Linked DNA regions of Macaca fascicularis. The protein of the gene in region 4 interacts with the protein of the main gene of each other region in a pairwise test. Links are inferred from orthologs where the notes say so. Each region holds a gene or a part of one and is shown on either strand. Other genes may lie near its edges.

Region 1 (4,310 bases), on a different chromosome or scaffold from region 4:
ATAGCACTAAACAAAAACAATTTTCACCAGTACCTAGTATGGAAAGGACTGTTGGCAGCACCTTGGCCTCTACTGCCCTACACACACCTATAAAGCATCAGTCAGTCCCACCTCTTGACTGTATGCTTTGAGAACATGATTACACAAGTCTGTTTAAAATTTCTTTTTAAAGGAAATCATTAGGTATATTCAAAAGGGTCATCCACTGTATTGTTTAGAATGTAAATGTACCAGCATTTTTCTGTGTTCTAATGTCTGATCAATTCTAAAATGCTAGTCAATTAATGGTCATCCATTTTCTTTTTTTAAAAATGTGGCTCAACTACATGCAATGTGCTGAGCCAGTTCTGGAATCCACCCTGTAGCAGAGTAAAACTGGACCAAAGGAAGTGGAATCAGAACTCCTAGCTGTCACTTTTCCAGCTACTCAACCTACAGAGTTTTTCTTCAACTCTTTACTGTGACGTGTGGTGATTTGTTTTGGATTCCACTGTATGACAGACAGGTCTGACCTTGAGGAAGACCGGTAGCCCACATCCTCTGCTTTTATGGGCTTAATGATATGACCTGGCTTGGTGATGACCTTGGGAGTAGTCAGCTTTTGGAAAGCCCTCTGGGTGTTCCATGTGGATCCTACAGGGGTCTGGATGGTCCTTTCAAATTGCCGATGGTGGGTAAATGGATATGGAAGCACTTGTACCTGATGAGCTGCTGCGTGGATGTTGCGCTTCTCACTGATAATCACATTTGGCAAATTCTTATCTTTTCTTGGAGGACCCTCAGGGGCTTTGAGAAACTGGCGTCTTTTCTTGGTACTAGGCTTTAGGCCCACACCACCCCACTCGCCCCAGCCAGGTAGTGTCAGGTCCACGTCCTTTGGCGTACTCGCCTCCACAGCTTCTCTCTTCTCTTTCAAGAAATTTCTGATGACATCATCCCCAGCAAAAGCTTCCTTTATCATCTGCCTTTGGTCTCTCTCCTCTTCATCTTCCAGCTCCTCTATTGTTGTGGGAACTGCCAAAGACCTCACGGAAGGAGACTGTGTAGTTAGGAGGTTCTGTACGTCGATCAGTTGCTCCTTCTCTTTCTTCTCCTTAGGGGCATCAGGCCGATTATTTGGGGTCCTCTCTGACTGCTGCCCTTCTAACACAGGTCTGGGAAGCTCCTTATTTTGAAAACAATCTTCTTTTCCCAGCTCTTCTAGCTCTTCCACAGTTTGTACTCTCTCTGGCCTCTGTAGCAACAGGGGCGCCTCTTCTTCTGGGGCAGGTTCCTCTCTCTGGACCTGGGGAACAGTCCCCTCTGAACTTGCTTTTTGCTTCCTGGACTGATGGTTTTCCTTCAATTTCTGAGATAGTGCCCTCAATTCAGACAGCACCTCCTGGCTGCTAGAATCTTTTGTTTCTTGAATGCCTGCTGGCTCAGCATCCTGGTTGAGCTCAGATCTTTTTCTAAGGGATCGCCTCTCCTCAAAGTCTCTCAACAAAATTTCTTCCTCTGCCACTGGTCTTTCTCCCTCACTTTCAGAAACCTCATGGGTGGCAGGCTCTGGCAGTTGCTCAGGGTCCTCCTGGGTTGCAGCCTCTCTGGTGTCACTGGTGCAGCTTCTGAGCATCCAGGGATTTGGTCCGTCCACATTCATCTGGACTTCATTCACTACATGGGGGACAAGGAGTTCTTCCACTTCTTCTGTGCCTCCCTCCTCTTCCTCAATCTCAGAGGCTACCTGGAGTTTCTGTGTCAGTTCTTTGTTCTTGGCCAACTGTTCCTGCATAGCTTGGCGAGCCTCCAGGTCATATTTTGCCATAATTGCCTTTGACTTGGCCCATTTCCCACTGTTTTGGTGCTTAAGGCTCATTCTTTCCATCATTCTGGCATTTTCAAATTTTTCCAGTTCTTCCAATGCCACAGTTGGATTAACCTTCTGCAGCTGCTCCAACTCTTTTGAGGCTTTCCTGGCCTTTCCTTTCTTCACGACTTTGTGATACTTTTTACTTTTGATTTTCTTCTCTCTTCGAGCCTTGGCCTCATAGTAGGACTGCAGAGCCCGAGCCCTTTGAAGCTCTGCTCGGTGCATCTTTGCCTCTTCCAGACTCATGGCTTGGAGAGAGGCCTTTTCCATGGGAGTCAGTAAAGGGTCTGTTACTGGCTGCTTGTTCTTATGGAGGAGGTTAAAAATTTCCTGCTCCAGGGGAGTTCCTGCCTTCCAGCCACTGAGTGCATGTTCAATGGGAGCAATGGCTGGCTGCTCCTTCCCCAGGGGAAAAGCCAGCTGCTCTGCCTGCTGGTTCTTCAGGACGATAGGGTCCCATTTAGAGAGGACTTGTGAGGTTTTACCGAATGCTGCTTCTCTGTGGATCTGTTCAATCTTTTCTTTGTTAAGAGGTAACTCCACCACCTTCTTTGATTTGACTCTATTCAGTTGCTTTTTCACAGTGGCCAAAGAAGAAGTAGTTTTAACAGGCTCAAGGAGATCTGCAAGGACCAGCTTTTCTCCTGATCCTTCAGAACTGACATTGAACTCTGACACTTTCAGACTAGCCTCAGACCTCTCAGCCAATTTCCGCCTATTCTTTCCATCAAGGGAACTGATTGCTTCCAGAAGCTTTTGATGCTTTCTCTCTCCATCACTGTCCCCCTCATCTTCATTCTCACTCAAGGGGCAGTTTTTTGGCAAATCCATTAATTCTTCCTGTTGGCTCAAAGCCAGAAGGCTCTCCACAACCCGGTTCACATTCATCTCAGCAGCCAGCTTCTCTCATGTGTACCAAGAATGGAAGCTGAAGGCTAGTCATCCATTTTCTTTTCAACACTTCCTTTTATTCTAAAAGGAAATTTTCTTGTCTGTTTTCTAAAGTAAAATGATTTGACAAATGAGATTGAATTTAGAAAAATATTTACATATGAAGGTGTTTAACCAGTTTATATAAAATATCTTTAATTTTCCAGATATGGCATTACTTAAATAACTTTTCCACAGATGATAGGAATGTCACTTCAAATTCCTGATCAGAGAATCTGCTTACAGATGCACGAGCACTTTTTCTGATTTGGAGTCTCTTTTCTGCAGACATGGAAAGAATGTGAGCGATAGTTTCAGCATAGTCTTCTTCACTCTCAGCCAGAAAGCCAGTTATATCTCCTTCGTGAGGAACGACAATGTCAAGCTTTGGGCCCCCTGAATTGTGTGCAAGGATAATTGTGCCAGCTGCCATACACTCCACAACTCCTGAGAAAAAAACAAAAATCATGTAGTATTTTAAGTTTTTGAGTGTGTTCATAAGAATGAGGATGAACAGAAATCTTCAAAAATTTTAAGGGACTTATGAGAAACTTAATTAAATGTCTATATGTCTAGACATTTGCTTATTTAACTTCTATAGTACAAAATAAAATAATTTTAAGTTTTTTAGTTTTCATAGCTTCATAATAATACAATTTTTTTTTTTTTTGGAGAGAGAGGGTCTCACTATGTTGCCCAGGCTGGCCTCTAACTCCTAGCCTCAAGTGGTCCTCCCATCTTGGCCTCCCAAAGTGCTGGGATTTACCAGCGTGAGCTACCACACCCAGCCTGCTGCTTTATTCTTAGTTAAAATAGACAAGTAGATGGAAGACTAACCTATTAAAAAAGATATATTGCAGATAATTAAAAAAGACTAGAGAATGTTAGCAAGATGGTAGAATATTAACAGGTATTAGAAAAACAAAAGGAGTAAAAAGATATCAAAAACAATTTTAATAGTTCAAATTACATTAGCAGAAAAAATAAAAAATGCGAATCACCTAAGTGAAGCATACTATTGCAGTGCTTATGTTACTGCCTGGATTTCTGGCATATTTGAGACTACTGCGTGCCCAACAACAGTGCTGAACTAAATGAAAGTTGTGGTTAGTTTCTGCCAAATGATACACATGAAATATAAATTAATGTAGCCAGCCTTTCTTAGCTGTATTCCTAGGAGAATTAAGCCCTTCAGAGAATGATTTAAGTGACTGCTTTCCCAATTATCTGAAGGATGGTACAGAGCTGGTATCATCCTGGATGTATAGGAGAGAAATTAAATAATTCCAAATGTTTCTAAACCAGTGGTGAAATCCCTGCAGAATAGAATTCAGTAGCTCATATCGTATTCTGCTTGAGGTTGGAGAGCATCCTGTACTTTCTCAGAGACCTTCATCTAATCAGTTTTACCCTTTCCCTCTCTACTGGCTCCTTCCTATCAGCATTGAAGCTAGGGTGCCACATGCCTCTCCTCAGGTCCTGCAATACCCACCCCTAGCCATTGTCTCTTCTTCCCGCTCCGTACTTC
Region 2 (4,250 bases), on a different chromosome or scaffold from region 4:
ACTTCAGGATCCCGCCTTCTAAGCCGTGTGGTCCATTCCGGGGGCAGTCGTCCATCTGGGCCCAGATCCCTGAGTCTATTTCCAGCCTCCCTGAGACCACCCAGAACTTCCTCTTCTTCCTGGGGACCCAGGCTTTTGCTGCGCCCCTTCTGCTGATCTCCAGGTGAGGTGGGCCAGACTTCTGGGTCTGGGTTTGAATGCGTGTGATCTGGGGGCCACCACCTGCGTCCAAGAGAGGAAAGGCTTGGGGGTGGGAGCAGGCGATGTACTGAGTCTGAGGGAGGAGGCCTAGGCTCCTGGACTGCTGGGTCCGAAGGAGGAGGTGGGCGGGACTTAGGACTCCTGGATCTGAACGCGGAGGTGCTGGGAGACTGAACTCCTTGAGCCTGGACGAGGAGGGACTTAGGGGTCCACATCCCTGACTTCGAAGAGCGTGTCAGGAGTGGCTTCCGTTCCTGTCTCCTCCAGCATCCTGATGGCGTACACTGTGGCTCGGGCTAACTCCTACGGACGCCTCATCTCTGAGCTCAAACGTCAGAGGGAGACGGTGAGCCAGGCGGGTCCCTGAGAGGGCCCCCGGGGAACACGGAGAGGGGCTGGGGAAGAGGGCTGTCACACCTCCACCTCTCTTTGCCGCAGGAGGCGCAGAATAAAGTCTTCCTGGCACGGCGCGCTGTGGCGCTGACCTCCACCGAACCGGCTCTTTGACCCCCGCAGCTCACGCCCCACTTTCAGACCCCAGGCCCATTGTAAGCCTAGGTCACAACATCTGTAAACTAGGAGAACTGGAGAAGACTCCACGCCCTTCCAGCTTTGGTATCTGGAGATTTCCAGGGCCCCTCGCCGCCACGTCCCTGACTCTCGGGTGATCTTTCTTGTATCAATAAATACAGCCGAGGTTGCTGAGCGCGCTTTGAAATCTGCGTCCTGAAGGTGGGGGCAGGGCTACCGCAGGGCAGGAGCCAATCAAATGTATGGGCATGTTTGTCGGTGCGGAGCGCACTTCCGCAAGGAGACTTGACGGTCATGTCGACCAATCGACGGCCGCATCTGGTAGCATCGGGGCGGGCCAACTTATGATTGGTTCAGATCTGTGATAAGAGGCGGTTGCTAGGGGATACCACGAGCCGAACGCCTAACATTCGCTGTGAAAAGGACGTCTCAGCCAATCACCTGTCGTTACAGGCCAGGGGGCCGTACCAACTAATTCGGAACCAATCTGCGGTCGAAGTAGGGACAAGAGGAAGGGGGGCATCCTCTCGCCAATCGGAAGTGCAAAGAGGCGGGCGTGCCAGTCCCTGGACAGCTACGACGCCATGAATATCTTGCCCAAGAAGAGCTGGCACGTCCGGAACAAGGACAATGTCGCCCGCGTGCGGCGTGACGAGGCCCAGGCCCGGGAGGAGGAGAAGGAGCGTGAGCGGAGGGCGCTGCTGGCTCAGCAAGAGGTAAGCTCGGAGGCCGGCCGGGCTGACCGCCGGAGCCCAGCGCGCACGCGCCGCGGTTGGGGGCCGGAAGCGGAAGCGTTGCGCAGGCTCAGTGTGCCCCGTGTGAAATTCGGGACCAGGCGCCGATCCCGTTTTCGAGGACGTTGCTCTGCAAACCTTGTGGCCACTTCCACGAAACCTCCCTTGATCTCGCCTTCGTCTTAGTTTCCCCCCACTGATGTATTTCACATGGCTGGAACAGTGTCTAGCACAAAAGAGCAGCTTAAAAACATTTAATGAATACATGAGCGCTTGGACAGTTCAAGGAAATTCGGATCACTTTTTAGTTTGCCTGCGCAGTTTATTTATTGAGCACCTATTGTATGCTAACTACATGCAGAGCGCCTGACTTGCGGAATCCCCAGGAGGCACTGTTCGTTCTTAGAGGGGCACTGTCATCTCCGTTGCACGGAGTGAGATGGCTTCAGTGAGGGGAAGGCACATTTAAGGAGAGGGGGACAGCCAGGCTCCACGCCATCGGGCGAGCCCTTTCCTGCACCGCCCCCTAGACACATACACACAAACACGGGCTTTCTGTATGGCTCCTTAAATCTGTTTGGTGTACACCCAACTTTCAGTTCCTTAGCTAGTCTGATCCTCCACAGTGGGTGGGAGGTAGTCTGGGTTTTTAGAATCTCAGTAGGCTGCTGAGCGCTGTTTGAAATCTGCGTCCTGAAGGCGGGGGACAGGGCTTCAGCAGTCGACTTGGGGTAGTGACTTGGAGCCATGGCTAGAATTCAGATCGTCTGGCCTAATGCAGTTTGGTCTACCTTTATGGCTGTTTTAATTGTCTCACTTGAGGTTAGGAACCCCTTTGGTTTAGGCCAGGGACCTCCTTCCAGCCATCCTTGATGACCCGTGGTTTACGATTTGAAAGGCAGTTTACAAAACCCAGGCGTTGCCTCATCTGCCTACCCTCACCCCCAGCTAGGACAGGTGCCTCTTTTAAGCGTCTAGTGCTCCCTTTCTTATAACCCCAGCACCCTGGACTGCCATTTTCTGTGGTGGGCACCAGACTCACAGTTCTTGAATCACCTCTAGGTTCTGAATGCCCTGCCTATAACTTTCTCCCCAGGCCCGTACAGAATTCCTACGAAAGAAAGCCAGACATCAGAACTCACTGCCTGAGCTTGAAGCAGCAGAGGCGGGAGCCCCAAGTTCTGGCCCTGTGGACCTGTTTCGGGAGCTGCTGGAGGAAGGGAAAGGAGTGATCAGAGGCAATAAAGAGTACGAGGAAGAAAAGCGACAGGAGAAAGTAAGCTGGCCTCACCCACTTCATTAGAGGAGCCATGAATCGAGTTGGGGGGAGAGGGCACTTTAGCCACTGCTTGTGATCAAGGTCAAACGAGAACGAACACACAGAATTTAGAACCATACCAAAGCATGACACTTAAGAAGTGTTGCCATCTGGGCACCCACAGGGCTTGGAGGTAGATGCTAGAGGTCCCCAGCTGCCAGGCAAACTGCTCAGTTCTCAAAACTGGAGGGGTCTGAAACCTTGATAGGCTTTTAAAAATGTAAATCAGCCAGCTGTGGCTCATGCCTGTAATCCCAGCACTTTGGGAGGCTGAGGCAGGTGGATCACCTGAGGTCAGGAGTTCAAGACCAGCCTGGTCAACATGGTATCTCTAAGAATACAAAAAAATAAGCCAAGTGTGGTGGTGCACGCCTGTAATCCAGCTACTTGAAGGCTGAAGCAGGAGAATCGCTTGACCTGGGAGGTGGAAGTTGCAGTGAGCTGAGATTGCGCCACTGCACTCCAGCCCGGGTGACAGAGCGAGACCCCATCTCAAAAAAAAAAAGAAAAAAAAAAAAAAAGGCGAATCATTCGCCTCTTGCCTTTTGGCTAAGATCAAGTGTAAAAAGTATGTCTGGTCGTGCATGGTGGCTCACACCTGTAATCCCAGCACATTGGGAGGCCAAGGTGGATGGATCACCTGAGGTCAGGAGTTCAAGACCAGCCTGGCCAAACATGGCAAAACCCCGTCTGTACTAAAAATACAAAAATTAGCCGGGCATGGTGGTGCGTGCCTGTAATCCCAGCTACTAGGGGGGCTGAGGCAGGAGGATTGCTTGAACCTGGGAGGCAGAGGTTGCAGTGAGCCGAGATGGTGCCACTACACTCGAGCCTGGGCAACAGAGCGAGACTGCATCTCAAAAAAAAACAGGTACATGAGCTCTTGTCACTCACCTGCTGTCTCTGGACTTGTTGACCCCACCCATGGCTCCTCTGCTTTGCTTGATCCCTTCAGGCTTCTCTTCAAGTCTCTCTGCAAAGATGCCTGCCTCTGAACACTCAAGTGGCTCCACTTGTCCCCTCCTTCCCCTGCTGTTACCTGCCACTGTCCCCCCAGGGGGAACTTGGCCTCTGTTGGTGTCTTCCATCCCCAGCACCTGGTACAACTGGTTCATGACAAGCCTTAGGTACCTGTTTGCTTAGATTCCTATGTCAGGGAGACACACCTGACACCTTGAAAGATTATATCCCATCTCTTGTATTTCCTGGCCCCCTCAGGAGAGGCAAGAGAAAGCTCTGGGCATCCTGACATACCTGGGCCAGAGTGCAGCGGAGGCACAGACTCAACCCCCTTGGTACCAGCTACCCCCAGAGCGAGGGGGGCCCCCTCCTGGCCCAGCCCCAGATGAGAAGATCAAGAGCCGTCTGGACCCTCTTCGGGAGATGCAGAAGCATCTGGGGAAGAAGAGACGGCACAGCGGTGAAGGCAATTGCAGCAGAAAGGAAAAGAAGGAGGGGTCTGAGAA
Region 3 (4,229 bases), on a different chromosome or scaffold from region 4:
AGAGAATCGCTTGAACCCCGGAGGCGGAGGTTGTGGTGAGCCAAGATTGTGTCATTGCACTCCAGCCTGGGGAACACACAAAACTCTGTCTCAAAAAAAAAAAAAAAAAAAATTGGGGGGCGGGCACGGTGGCTCACGCCTGTAATCCCAGCACTTTGGGAGGCCGAGGTGGGTGGATCACAAGGTCAGGAGATTGAGACCATCCTCACCAACGTAGTGAAACCCCGCCTCTACTAAAATACAAAAAATAAGCCAGGCATGGTGGCACATGCTTGTAATCCCAGCTACTCGAGAGGTTGAGGCAGGGGAATCGCTTGAACCTGGGAGGCGGAGGTTGCAGTGAGCTGAGATGAGATCACACCACTGCACTCCAGCCTGGTGACAGAGCGAGACTCCGTCTCAAAAAAAAAAAAAAAAAAAAAAAGCTTTGAAACAAGAAGGGTCAGAGAGAAAAGAAAATCTGAGGAAACTGATTAGGCACACTCACCTTCGAAGGGTGAGATAATGGTCCAGGGCTCGTCTTCTTGTGGGGCTCATGGGTGCAGGGGCTGAGACAGTTGCTGACTCCTCAGCCTGTGGGCCAGCCCCAGGTTCAGGTTCCCTACTGATCTTCCCGCTTTGGAGTTCGACCTCTGAGGGTGGCACAGGAGAAAGGGAGACAGAGGGACCAGGGGCTTCTGGTCTAGGTAGAGAAGAATAGTCTGTAAAAGCAGTAAGGGAAAGGGCCAACTCTCCTATGACTCCCAACCTCTTAAAACAGTGTTTCTTAAACTATATTTTTCAAGATATTAGTAAGTTCTGCATACAAAGGATTTTAGAATCATGAATTTGGGAAAGGCTAGCTTTAAATTTTACAAGTTTTTTTTTTAATTCTTAAGACTTTGTATAGCTTTTAAAACTGTTACTCTTTTTTTTTTTTTTTTTTTTTCTGAGATGGAGTCTTGCTCTGTCACCCAGGCTGGGGTGCAGTGGCCAGATCTCAGCTCACTGCAAGCTCCGCCTCCCGGGTTTACGCCATTCTCCTGCCTCAGCCTCCCGAGTAGCTGGGATACAGGCGCCCGCCACCTCACCCGGCTAGTTTTTTGTATTTTTTAGTAGAGACGGGGTTTCACCGTGTTAGCCAGGATGGTCTCGATCTTCTGACCTCGCGATCCACCCGTCTCGGCCTCCCAAAGTGCTGGGATTACAGGCTTGAGCCACTGCGCCCGGCCTAAAACTGTTACTCTTCAAGTAGAATTACAAAGTGCCATTTCCCAAACTTTATTTAAAAATCACAAAATTCTCCTTTTCTTTTTCTTTTGAGATGGAGTCTCACTCTGTCACCTAGGCTGGAGTGAAGTGGTATGATCCTGGCTCACAGCAACCTCTGCCTCCCGGATTCAAGCAATTCTTCCACCTCAGCCTCTTGAGTGGCTGGGATTACAGGCACACACCACACACCCAGCTAATTTTTTATATTTTTGGTAGAGACGGGGTTTCACCATGTTGGCCAGGCTGGTCTTGAACTCCTGATCTCAAGTGATCCACCGCCTAAGCCTCCAAAAGTGCTGGGATTACCGGTGTGAGCCACCGTGCCCGGCCAAAATTCTCCTTTTCTTGAAACACTAAGTAACATCTCCAGAACGCTAGTATTCCTCAGAATACAGACTGGAAAACACTTTCAGAGCCCTCTATCTCCTTCCGAGCCTTCCTACCTCTGGCTTTCCCCTCCCATACCTGTACTTCCGGCGGCAGCAACTGTTATAGTGGGGAGCTCTGTGCAGAGCACTCTGGGTGATAAGTCGTGTCTGGGTTAGCAGAGGAGCCTGGTAAGAAGATGGGAGACAGAGTCAGAGCCTTCAGCCCTCTGCCCTTCCAGCCTGGTGTGTGCAGCAGGGTCTTGCCTAGAACACACTCTCCACTCTCTGATTACCTCAGCTTTGGTTTCTTCCCTCCTCAATTCATTCTGATGTCTTGGATTCTGCTTCCTTTCCTTTCCCGGCTGCTTCTTGCCATAGAAAAGCTGCAAGCCTGAAGAGAAAGGGAAACAGAATTAAAAGCATAGCACCAAGGCTGGTGTGCAGAGATTTCGATTTATTCCCCATCCCCTGTCTTCCCCCGAACTTACTGGACAGATGTTTCTTGCCTGCACGGTGGGCAGTCAGCATGGCCAGGGTGTCCAGTACCGGTCGATGGGGGCAGATGGCACAAGCAAAGCTGAGCAGGGGTAGAGAAGAGGATAACTGGTCCAGGGGAAGAGGGTTGGGCCTGTCCCTGCCGTAAGTCCCACCCTGTCCTAGCAGTCTTTGCAAAACCCAACTCCCTGGTGACCCAATCTCCACTTCTTCCAGTCCTCACTAGCCGCCAAAGAATCCTAGATACTTCTGCTGTCCTAATTAATAACAAAAGTTTGTTGAAGCCGGGCGTGGTGGCGTGCGCCTGTAATCCCAGCTAATCGCGACGCTGAGGAGGCAGGATCACTTGAGCCCTAGAGTTCAAGGACAGCCTGGGCAACACAGCTATTGAGCCTCTAACCGCAAAACCCTCAGGCTTGAGCCACTCCTCGCTCTTACCGTCCATCCCGAAGCATCAGCGCCTCATCCTCTGGGATGTAACTGGCGAGGAGGTCCCCGACTCTTCTTTTCTGCAGGGAGTAGGGGAAGAAATCCGGACGGATCAGCAGGATAGGAGAGAGGGATGGAAGTTAAATGACAGAAATGAGGAGTCAAACGGAATAAGGACATAAGGACCCTGGGGAGAACAGCGATCATAGACCGAAAAAGGAGTCACTACACAGCTCTAAGTCGCCTGGTTCTCTCCTGCACCCCCGAGTTGTTGCCAGAGCAATGAAACAACGCTCCTTCCCAACCTTCAGAGAGCGACTGAAGAGGCTGCAGATCCTCTCCGCTCACGCTTACTTTGAGCACATTGAGTTGACTCCAATCGTCTCCTTCCCTCTTGAAAGACATCACGACTGTGAGTCCCAGAGTGATAAATTTTCTTGTTCCGGTTTCGCCACTCCTCTAGGCCACCGTAGCAAGAGCGGGACAGCGCCTTCTCTTTTCTCTTTGTCTTCCTGTCGGCCCCCGTACTTCCGGGAATGCACTTCCACGCATGCATTGCGCCATCCGGATATCCACTCTCTGGCGCGTGGAGGGAACTGCATTTCCTATGGTGCCGTGCGACTCTGCAGACGCGACGCCTTTTGGGAAATGAAGTCTTTTCCTCAAAGACCTTGCCGCTCAGCTGGATCCAGGCCCTTGCATCTTGGTGGATCTGAGGCGTTTAGAGGGACAAGAACCTAGATGTGGAGCCGAAATTTGAGGGTGTGACCTATCTGATGCGGAGCGGACCTGTGAGGATCTCTGAGTGGAAGGTGTACTACAAATTCTCGCAATCCTCACGCTCTTCGTCTGCGGCGACAGTTCACCTGGGGTGGGCCTGATTTGTTCCTGGCTCTAGCAAACAAACCCCGGGACCGGGCAGAGCTGGGATGTGGGAGCGCCCTGAGGCCAGGCTACTTGGGGGCAAACTGAGGAAAGAGTGTTGAGGATTATTTCTAGAGTTCAAAGGTCAGAGGTCAATGTAGCGAGGAGTTGTGGGGGAGTTCAAAGTCGGAGGGGTGCTTAGGGGCGAATCAGGGAGGGACTGAATACTCAAGGGACAGATTTGTGGATAAGGAGTTGGAGGGAGGAGAAACCGGGAGGGGGCAGGTGGCGTAGTGCTGGGGAGGCGGGGACACAGGGGAAGAGAGAAGGGGAAAGGAATCCCCTGAATATCTATTCCCAGACTTCAGGCCTGTCACTCGCAGTCTCGGTCGGGCCTCCCCTAGTTGCAACCTAGCTGTCGGCAGGGTGAAGAGATGGCTTCCCCGTCTAGACAGCCCCCGCCAGGGGGGTCAGGACTGCTTCACGGGAGCCGGGCTCGTTCATATGGAAGCCTGGTGCAATCGGCCTGCTCCCCAGTGAGGGAAAGACGCCTGGAGCATCAGTTGGAGCCCGGAGACACCCTGGCTGGACTAGCACTCAAATATGGGGTGACGGTGAGTTTTCCAGGATTGGGGTGCAGACAAGAGTCAGGAGGGATTTAGTCCTGAGAAGAATGTAGTGGACCTTCTAGGTAACCTCCCCTGAAATGTTCCTAATGTGTTGAACTCTGTTCTGCCTTTATCTTTGTTTTCCCATCACAGTGTTGCACTGCGTGGTTGGGACAAGTTCTGCTCTACTATTCCAATGGAGAGGAACAGCTCC
Region 4 (3,775 bases):
GCATGGCGGCACATGCCTGTAGTTCCAGCTACTCGGGAGACTGAGGTGGTAGGGATCACGTGAGCCCAGGAGTTCAAGGCTGCTGCAGTGAATCACAATCATAGCAGTGCATCCCAGCCTGGGCGACAGAGATCCCCACATCTCTTCAAAAATAAATGAATGGAACTGGGCACAGTGGCTCACGCCTGTAATTCCAGCACTTTGGGAGGCCAAGGTGGGCAGATCACATGAAGCCAGGAATCAAAAAAAAAAAAAACAAAAAAACAAAAAAACAAAAAAACTGGGCGTGGTGGCACACACCTGTAATCCCAGGTACATGGAAGGCTGAGGCATAAGAACGGCTTGAACCCGGGAGGCTGAGGTTGCTATGAGCCAAGATTGCACCACTGCACTCCAGCCTGGGTGACAGTGCGAGACTCCATCTCAAAATAGATAGATAGATAGATAGATAGATAGATAGATAGATAGATAGATAGATAATAGATAGGGCTGAGTGCAGTGGCTCACATCTATAATCTTAGTGTTCTGGGAGGCTAAGACGGGAGGATCACTTGAGCTCAGGAGATCAAGGCTGCAGTAAGTTGTGTTTGTGCCACTGCACTCCAGCCTGGGCAACAGAGTGAGATCCTGTCTCTAAATAAATAAAGAAATAAACAAATGATAAGTGGAATAAGAGGCTGACATTGAGACCCTGTCCTAAGCCCCCATCTCCCACACATCTACTCCCTCCCCTGTTTGATACCTTCTGGCGTTTGTAAATGGTGGGCAGTGGGGCCACCTCACAGTCCTTGTGGGCACCGAAGACCTTGCAGAGAGAGCAGGTGGGCACCTCACAGCTCAGGCAGTAGATATTGATCTTCTCCTCTTCATGCTCCTCGCACATGAGGTGCTGCTCAGCCTTGGAGTGCAGCGGCCTAGAGAGGAGTGGGCAGGGGGAGGTGGACCTTAAGCATGAAGGGTCCTAGGAACACCTTCTCTTCAGCCTCCACCAACTACCACCCCTTCTCCACCCCTGCAGCTAGTGCTGTGGCTGAACTGGTGAGTACTTCCACAGAGCTCTGAGTTTGGGGAATAGAAGGAGCTAAGAGATAGAGAAGGCCTGGATCCAAGAATAGTCTGTATTTCAGGGGGCAGGGAAGTCCCACAGGACAGGAAGTCTTGGAGGGTTGGCGAGGATCTTGCTGGTGGACTGCCAGCCTCTCCCAGGAGGAGAGGGTAGGAGTGAAGTACTGGCTAGGGAATCAGGGACTGCCCTCTCTGGGAGGCCTGAGGCAATCCCTCTCCGGATCCAGTCCTATTGTCTCTAGACAGAACAGGCGGGTTGACGGTTTCAGTCTCTCCCTTCTGGCTCTGATGGGTTCCTTGGCTGTGTCCCAAGCCCTGACATTTAGAGAGGCAAGAGACCCTGGCGGCTCACCTGGACGACTCCTGCTTGTAAATGTCAATAATGTTCTCCACTAGCAGGTTTCGCTGCAGGCCGTAGACACCGTGTCTGTCCAGGACAACCTCATGCCTGCAAGATGGGCAGCGGAAACGGCCTCCTGAAGACACAGTGGTGGAGCCCCGGGACTGCCACAGAGGATTCGAGGCCTGCAGGGACAGATGGCTTGAGAGAACAGGCACGGGGAGGCATGAAGGGACTCAGAGGAGGCAGGGGGAAAGGGATTGGGGGCTAGGGAGTAGGAATATGATAGAGGGGAAGATGTCAGCTCTTCTCTGTGGCTGGATCCACCTCTGAGAGCAGCGCAGGGTGTACGGCTATGGAGACCCTGCTTCCCACCTTTGCCTCATTACTCAGCCCACCTCCTAGAGTGCCCCTGCATCTAGAGACCAGCTTTGGTAAAGGTGTAGTCAGGCTGGGATCTCTCCAAAGGGGCCCATCTTGGAGCTGTGGGGAGACATTGGCCTTGGCAATAAGGCTGAGGCAGGAAATGGACTCTGAGTGGTGCGGCCAGTGTCTTCCAGTCTGGGGCCCTCTTGAGCCACATCTGGGGGGAGATTCTCTGCAGTCCTGGGGAGGGGTACAGCAGACACAAGTGCTCAACAATGGGGCTCACAAACAGTAACTAGCCAGGTAATTCTCTGATGCCTTTTTTTTTTTTTTTTTTTGAGACAGGGTCTCTCTCTGATGCCCAGACTGGAGTACAGTGGTGGGATCACAGCTCACTGCAGCCTCAACCTCCTGGGCTCAAGCAATCCTCCCATCTCAGCCTTTTGAGTAGCTGGGACTACAGGTATGTACCACCATGCTCAGATAATTTTTTTAATTTTTAGTAGAGATGAAGTATCACTATGTTGCCCAGGCTGGTCTTAAACTCCTGACCTCAAGCGACCCTCCCGCCTTGGCCTCCCAAATTGCTGAGATTATAGGCATGAGCCACCATGCCCAACCTCTTAACTATATAAATTTAGGCAGGTATTCAACCACTGTAAAGCTGAGGATAAAATTAGATTATTCATTTATAGTGTGCCAGGTAGTTGCTAGACTCTGAGTTAAAGATACAAGGAAAATGCATCCTGCTCTAAGGACAAGCACCCAACAACTGCATCCAGCAGGATGGGTGTTGTGACAGGGGTAAGTTCAGAAGGAGGACTTAACAGACACCCATCACTTCCTCCCGCTTACATCTCTTTCCTAGAGAAGTTGCTCCATCCTCTCCTAGAAGACAGATCCGTGCCACAGATGACTGATTCAGAGCTAAGGAGGTGATCACCTGACCCAAGCAGAACCAATTAAATGTTCTCTCCTAAGAATCTGCACTTGAGACTCAGGGGCTTAGCTGGCTGCACCATGTGCTGCTTACGAACTGAACAGACCTGTGGAATTGGGCTAAGAGCTGACATCATGGCCACCCTGGAAAGTGTGAGGGGTCATAAACTCTGAACAGAGAAGGCTGGTCTACAGAGAAAAGAGTCTATGCGTGGGGAGATGCAGAGATGAAAGACTGGCAGACACTGCTTATTGTTCCTGGACGTTCACCACCTTTTCTTCTTTAATAATAAGGGCGCTGAGTTTTAACAAGACACATGGTATAAAGGGCTGGGTGTGGTGGCTCACACCTGTAGTCCCAGCACTTTGGGAGGCCGAGGTGGGCAGATCACTTGAGCTCAGGAGTTTGAGACCAGCCTGGGCAACATAGCAAGAACTCATCTTTACTAAAAATAAAAAAATTAGCTGGGCACGGTGGTGCACACCTGTAGTCCCAGCCACTCAGGAAGCTGAGGCAGGAGAATTGCTTGAAACCAGAAGACGGAGGCTGCAGTGAGCTGAGATAGTACCACTGCACTCCAGTCTGAGCAACAGAGGCAGACTCCATCTCAAAAAAACAAACAAACGAAAACCGTGAATCTAAGCCTCCCTTCCAACTGGGTGTGGCCAGTTGGCTGTGCTCTGGAATGTATATGCAAATGTTTCGTGTAATTTGTAGGAAATTGCATAAACCGTCTTTCAAGGGAGGGGCATGCCCTGCTCCTCCCCTTTTCTCCTGCCTGCTGACTGGAAAGAAGATGGGATGGCTCAAGTTGAAGCAGCCATCTTGAGTCATGAAATGGTAGCCACATGTTGAAAATGGTAACGAGATGAAAGGAGCAGGTCTCTGATGGGGCAGTCCTGGACTGTCCACCCATACTTTCGCTTGAGAATAAAGCAAATTTTTACCCTCTTTAAGCCACTGTTATTTTGGTGTTTCTGCCACTCATAACAGAACCTAATCCTAACTGGCTGGAAGACCATGCATTCCTAGAGAATAATGGAGACAGTGGTCACCTATGACCT
Region 5 (4,534 bases), on a different chromosome or scaffold from region 4:
TGGGATTACAGGCACGTGCCACCACACCTGGCTAATTTTTGTATTTTTAGTAAAGACAGGGTTTCACCATATTGGTCAGGCTGGTCTCTAACTCCTGGCCTCAAGGGATCCACCCACCTTGGCCTCCCACAGTGCTGGTGTAGATTACAGGCATGAGCCACCGCACCCAGCCAACCTGGCTGATTTTTTTTTTTTTTTTTTTTTTTTTTTTTAGACAGAGTCTCACTCTGTTCTCCAGACTGGAGTACATTGATGTGATCTCAGCTCACTGCCACCTCCATCACCCGGGTTCAAGTGATTCTCCTGCCTCAGCCTCCTGAGTAGCTGGAATTACAGGCATATGCCACCACACCTGGCTTTTATTTATTTATTTATTTTTATTTTTAGTAGAGATGGGGTTTCACCATGTTGGCCAAGCTGGTCTTGAACTCCTGACTTTGTGATACGCCCACCTCAGCCTCCCAAAGTGCTGGGATTACAGGTGTGAGCCACCGTGCCTGGCCAACCTGGCTGATTTTTATTTTTTATTTTTTGCAGAGGTAGGGGTCTTGCTGTGTTGCCCAGGCTGGTCTTGAACTCCTGGCCTCAAAGGATCCTCCTGCCTCCATCTCCCAAAGTGCTGGGATTATAGGCGTGAGCCACCACACCCAGCCTCAAAAGGTTTTTGGAATGAACAGATGAATGAATATTGCCTACATCGGGCCTGCCTCCTCCCTCAGACAGAGAGCCACATAGGACTCAGGATGGCCCCACTCACCTCTTTCTGCAGCGTCTCCTTCTCAGCTCGGATGGCCTCCAGGGAGGCCTGCGTGCGGACCAGCTCATCCTCTCGGCTACTCAGGGCCAGCCGGAGCCAGGCATTCCTCTCAGCCAGGCGAGCTGCCTCTCGCTGGCTGCTCCCTGCCCCTTCCTGCTTCCCAAGGGGACCTGGTCCCCCTTTGCTTGTGTCTTCCAACTCCATTGGCCCAGGATGGCTGGGGGGCCGGTGGCGCCAGGCTGCAGCCGCTGCCTCCAGGGAGCTCAGAGCGTGCTGGAGGGTCTGAAACACATCGGGGGCCCCAATCCCAGGGGGCACAGTCTCCTTGTACTGTAGGGCTGCTTCTGGGGCCTGGTAGGCTTCCACTGCAGGTTTGTGGGGCACCTCGGGGGCTGAGGCCAGTCCCCTGCCAGAGCCCCCATCCGTCTTCTTGTCGGTCCTGTGGACACCAACTCAGGCACTTGAGTCGCTCCATGCTGGGCAGGGAATTCTTTTTTATTTTTTGAGACAGAGTCTCACTCTGTTGCCCAGGCTGGAGTGCAGTGGTGCGATCTCAGCTGACTGCAACCTCCACCTCCTGGGTTCAAGTGATTCTCCTGCCTCAGTCCCCCAAGTAGCTGGGATTACAGGTGCCCACCACCACGCCCGGCTAATTTTTGTATTTTTAGTAGAGACAGGGTTTCACCATGTTGGCCAGGCTGATGTCAAACTCCTGACCTCAGGTGATTCGCCCGACTTGGCCTCCCAAAGTTCTGCGATAACAGGCATGGGCCACAACGCTCAGCCCAGGGCAGGGAATTCTTAGGGCTTAAACTTCATGGTCTTCGGGAGGTGTGAGCGGGGCAGAGTTGGCAAGAGCTGCGTGTTCTGGGACTTGCATCCCAGGGAGAGACTGGGAGGCTGGGAATTCAGGGAAGAGGCTGGACAGAGGTGGTGGAGAAGTTGGAGGGGAGACCTGGGGCTACGAAGCAGAGTGAATAGTAAGTTGGACTGTGACGGGCAGTGGGAAAGTCCTGAAGGTGAGAGACAGAAGATTCTGGAAATGGGGTCTTCTGGGGCAGCGACTCACACTTGTAATCCCAGCACTTTCGGAGGCCGAAGTGGGGGGATCACCTGAGGTCAGGAGTTCAAGACCAGCCTGGCTAACGTGGCAAGACCCTGTCTCACTAAAAATACAAAAATTAGCTGGGTGTGGTGGCACACACCTGTAATCCCAGCTACTCGGGAAGCTGAGGCTCCCTCTTGAACCCAGGAGGCAGAGATTGCTGTGAGTGGAGATTGTGCCACTGCACTGCAGCCTGGGTGACAGAGCAAGACTCAAAAAAAAGAAAAGAAAGTCAGGCTGAAGGCAACAGGGAGCTATGGTAGGTGTGTGAGCAGAGAGGGCACATCAGCAGATCTGCAGATGGCAAAGATGCATGTGGACTGGAGTGAAGGGCACAGACCAAGGGGGTCTTACCTGCTTCCTAGGCCTTGGCCACTGACCTCCTCCATGGGGCCCAGCTGTTCCAGCCCGGAGCTCACAGGAGGTGGGGCAAAGCTGAGCTTGGAGCTCCCACTGGCTGCCTCAATCTCCTCTGAACTCTCAGCCACGGGGTCCAGTTCACCCTGCAAATGACCCCCGTGGCCCCGCTCTGAGCCAGGCAGGATGGGACCTTGGGGTCCCCAGGAGCTGGGTGTGGAGGGGAGAGGGCGACACTTACGGGTGGAGCATGCCTCCCTCGCCGGCTTCGGGGCCGCGTGGCCCGGGCACTCATTGCTGTCCAGAAGCCAGTGCTCTCTGAATGCTTCTCCTTCGTCAACCCCTAAAACCACAGCCTGCCATGACCTCTTGCCTTTGTTGTCCTGGACAAAGGACAACCTCAATTTCCTCTGCTGTGAAATGGGACATTGACTACCCCTCAGGAAGGGATTTTGTGATCAATGTTGATTGGGCACATTTGAATGCCTCCTGGACAGGCAGCTCACTACCTAACAAGGTTGTCTGGATCTCCCCCTTCTTCTCTGCCTTCTTTACCTTCACTACGTCTTTGTCCCCTTCCCTCCTCTCTTTGAGCCTGGAAATGCAATCTCAATAATTCCCTCTCCTCCGCGGCCCTCCTAAATGACGGGTTCAGCTCTCTACCTCTCTGATCTTCTGGGGGTAACTTGATCAGAGGCCTGAGTCCCTGGACGCCGTCTTGGGGTCACTCTGGCCACTGCCTGGTCAGGCCTGGGCTGGCCAAGCCTGGCCTGGGAGGGACCAGGAAACAGGAACCCACTCCCCTGGTCATGTGACTTGTTATTGTGTTGTTTCCTTTTTGAGGACAGCAGCTTCCTGCAGCCCTAGCGGGGCACACATACCTGACTCCCAAGGTTTCAGCCCCTCCTCGTCTCAGCCTCCAAGCCCATGGCCCTTCTAGCTCTGACGCTTGGATTTTATTTCTCAAGATCTAGAATGGGCCGAGCACCATGGCTCACGCCTGTAATCCCAGGACTCTGGGAAGCTGAGGAAGGCAGATCGCTTGAGCCCAAGAGTTTAAGACAAGCCTGGGCAACATGGCAAGACCCCCGTCTCTACATAAAATATAAAAATTAGCCAGGAGTGGTGTCATATGCCTGTAGTCCCAGCTACTCGGGAGGCTGAGGTGGGAGGATTGCTTAACACCTGGAAGTTGAGGCTGCAGTGAGCCATGGTCACGCCACTGCACTCCAGTCTGGGTAACAAGGCAACACCCTGTCTCAAAAAGAAAGAAAAAAAAAAGAGCTAGAATGTTCCCCTGAGCTGATATGGCTTTTATTTGGCTCCCCTGTGAACTCTTCTTCTCTGCCTGTCTCTTCACTGTGGGCTGACAGTTCTCTTCTCGCTCTGTCGCCCAGGCTGGAGTGCAGTGGTGCGATATTGGCTCACTGCAACCTTTGCCTCCCGGGTTCATACCATTCTCCTGCCTCAGCTTCCCGAGTAGCTGGGACTACAGGCACCCGCCACCACGCCCACCTAATTTTTTTGTATTTTTAGTAGAGACGGGGTTTCGCCGTGTTAGCTACGATGGTCTCGATCTTCTGACCTCGTGATCCACCTGCCTTGGCCTCCCAAAGTGCTGGGATTACAGGCGTGAGCCACCACGCCCAACCTTCTTTTTTTTTTTTTTTTTTTTTTTTTTGAGATGGAGTCTCGCTCTGTCGCCCAGGTTGGAGTGCAGCGGTGCGATCTCATTGCATCCTCCACCTCCTGGGTTCAAGCAATTCTCCTGCCTCAGCCTGCCGAGTAGCTGGGATTACAAGTGCCCACCACAACGCCTGGTTAATTTTTGTGTTTTTAGTAGAGACAGGGTTTTACCATGTTGGCCAGGCTGGTCTTGAACTCCTGACCTCAAGTAATCCGCCGGCCTTGGCCTCCCAAAGTGCTGGGATTACAGGCGTGAGCCACTGCACCCGGCTAGAGATGGGTTTTTGCCATGTTGGCCAGGCTGCTCTTAAACTCCTGAACTCAGGTGATCCACCTGCCTCACCCTCCCAAAGTGTTGGGATTACAGGCATGAGTCATCCACCCCACCAGCCCCAGAAATGTTTAAGAGCCACTTGAAGCCTCAGTTTATTTATTTATTTTATTTTTTTAGATGGAATCTTGCTCTGTCACCCAGGCTGGAGTGCAGTGGCGGGATCTCGGCTCACTGCAACCTCCACCTCCTGGGTTCAAGCGATTTTTCTGCCTCAGCCTTCCGAGTAGCTGTGATTACAGGTGTGCACCACCACACCCGGATAATTTTTTGTAATTTTAGTAGAGACGGGATTTCA

Evidence for each region.
Region 1: the proteins of TRIM54 (region 4) and UTP14C interact in a two-hybrid assay, tested with the Homo sapiens proteins (2 studies listed by BioGRID and IntAct). The two-hybrid records come from large-scale screens. The link is inferred for Macaca fascicularis from reciprocal best matches to the Homo sapiens genes TRIM54 and UTP14C.
Region 2: the proteins of TRIM54 (region 4) and LENG1 interact in binary tests that used the Homo sapiens proteins (3 or more experiments, as listed by UniProt). The two-hybrid records come from large-scale screens. The link is inferred for Macaca fascicularis from reciprocal best matches to the Homo sapiens genes TRIM54 and LENG1.
Region 3: the proteins of TRIM54 (region 4) and SCNM1 interact in binary tests that used the Homo sapiens proteins (3 or more experiments, as listed by UniProt). The two-hybrid records come from large-scale screens. The link is inferred for Macaca fascicularis from reciprocal best matches to the Homo sapiens genes TRIM54 and SCNM1.
Region 5: the proteins of TRIM54 (region 4) and USHBP1 interact in binary tests that used the Homo sapiens proteins (3 or more experiments, as listed by UniProt). The two-hybrid records come from large-scale screens. The link is inferred for Macaca fascicularis from reciprocal best matches to the Homo sapiens genes TRIM54 and USHBP1.

The regions. Positions count from the first base shown.
Region 1 is NC_088391.1:31,198,640-31,202,949, reverse strand, and holds the start of UTP14C (U3 small nucleolar RNA-associated protein 14 homolog C), read right to left. Parts: upstream 2,958-4,310; 5' UTR 2,741-2,957; coding exon 428-2,740; 3' UTR 1-427. Other genes in the region: ALG11 (GDP-Man:Man(3)GlcNAc(2)-PP-Dol alpha-1,2-mannosyltransferase), read right to left, coding at 2,958-3,229. UniProt on the Homo sapiens protein: Essential for spermatogenesis. May be required specifically for ribosome biogenesis and hence protein synthesis during male meiosis.
Region 2 is NC_088393.1:61,961,877-61,966,126, reverse strand, and holds the start of LENG1 (leukocyte receptor cluster member 1), read left to right. Parts: upstream 1-1,293; 5' UTR 1,294-1,316; coding exon 1,317-1,448; intron 1,449-2,562; coding exon 2,563-2,742; intron 2,743-3,498; exon of another isoform or gene 3,499-3,595; coding exon of another isoform or gene 3,596-3,655; intron 3,656-3,739; coding exon of another isoform or gene 3,740-3,901; exon of another isoform or gene 3,902-3,911; intron 3,912-4,002; coding exon 4,003-4,250. Other genes in the region: voltage-gated chloride channel TMC4, read left to right, coding at 8-163, 469-547, 640-708.
Region 3 is NC_088375.1:110,052,833-110,057,061, forward strand, and holds the start of SCNM1 (sodium channel modifier 1), read right to left. Parts: upstream 2,958-4,229; 5' UTR 2,949-2,957; coding exon 2,898-2,948; exon of another isoform or gene 2,849-2,897; intron 2,624-2,848; coding exon 2,553-2,623; intron 2,197-2,552; coding exon 2,108-2,196; intron 2,011-2,107; coding exon 1,913-2,010; intron 1,806-1,912; coding exon 1,717-1,805; intron 702-1,716; exon of another isoform or gene 683-701; coding exon 488-682; intron 1-487. Other genes in the region: LYSMD1 (lysM and putative peptidoglycan-binding domain-containing protein 1), read left to right, coding at 3,842-4,021. UniProt on the Homo sapiens protein: As a component of the minor spliceosome, involved in the splicing of U12-type introns in pre-mRNAs. Plays a role in the regulation of primary cilia length and Hedgehog signaling.
Region 4 is NC_088387.1:94,921,005-94,924,779, forward strand, and holds part of TRIM54 (tripartite motif-containing protein 54), read right to left. Parts: intron 1,591-3,775; coding exon 1,418-1,590; intron 915-1,417; coding exon 743-914; intron 1-742. UniProt on the Homo sapiens protein: May bind and stabilize microtubules during myotubes formation.
Region 5 is NC_088393.1:17,583,463-17,587,996, forward strand, and holds the start of USHBP1 (harmonin-binding protein USHBP1), read right to left. Parts: upstream 2,958-4,534; 5' UTR 2,515-2,957; coding exon 2,461-2,514; intron 2,366-2,460; coding exon 2,217-2,365; intron 1,916-2,216; exon of another isoform or gene 1,197-1,915; coding exon 758-1,196; intron 1-757.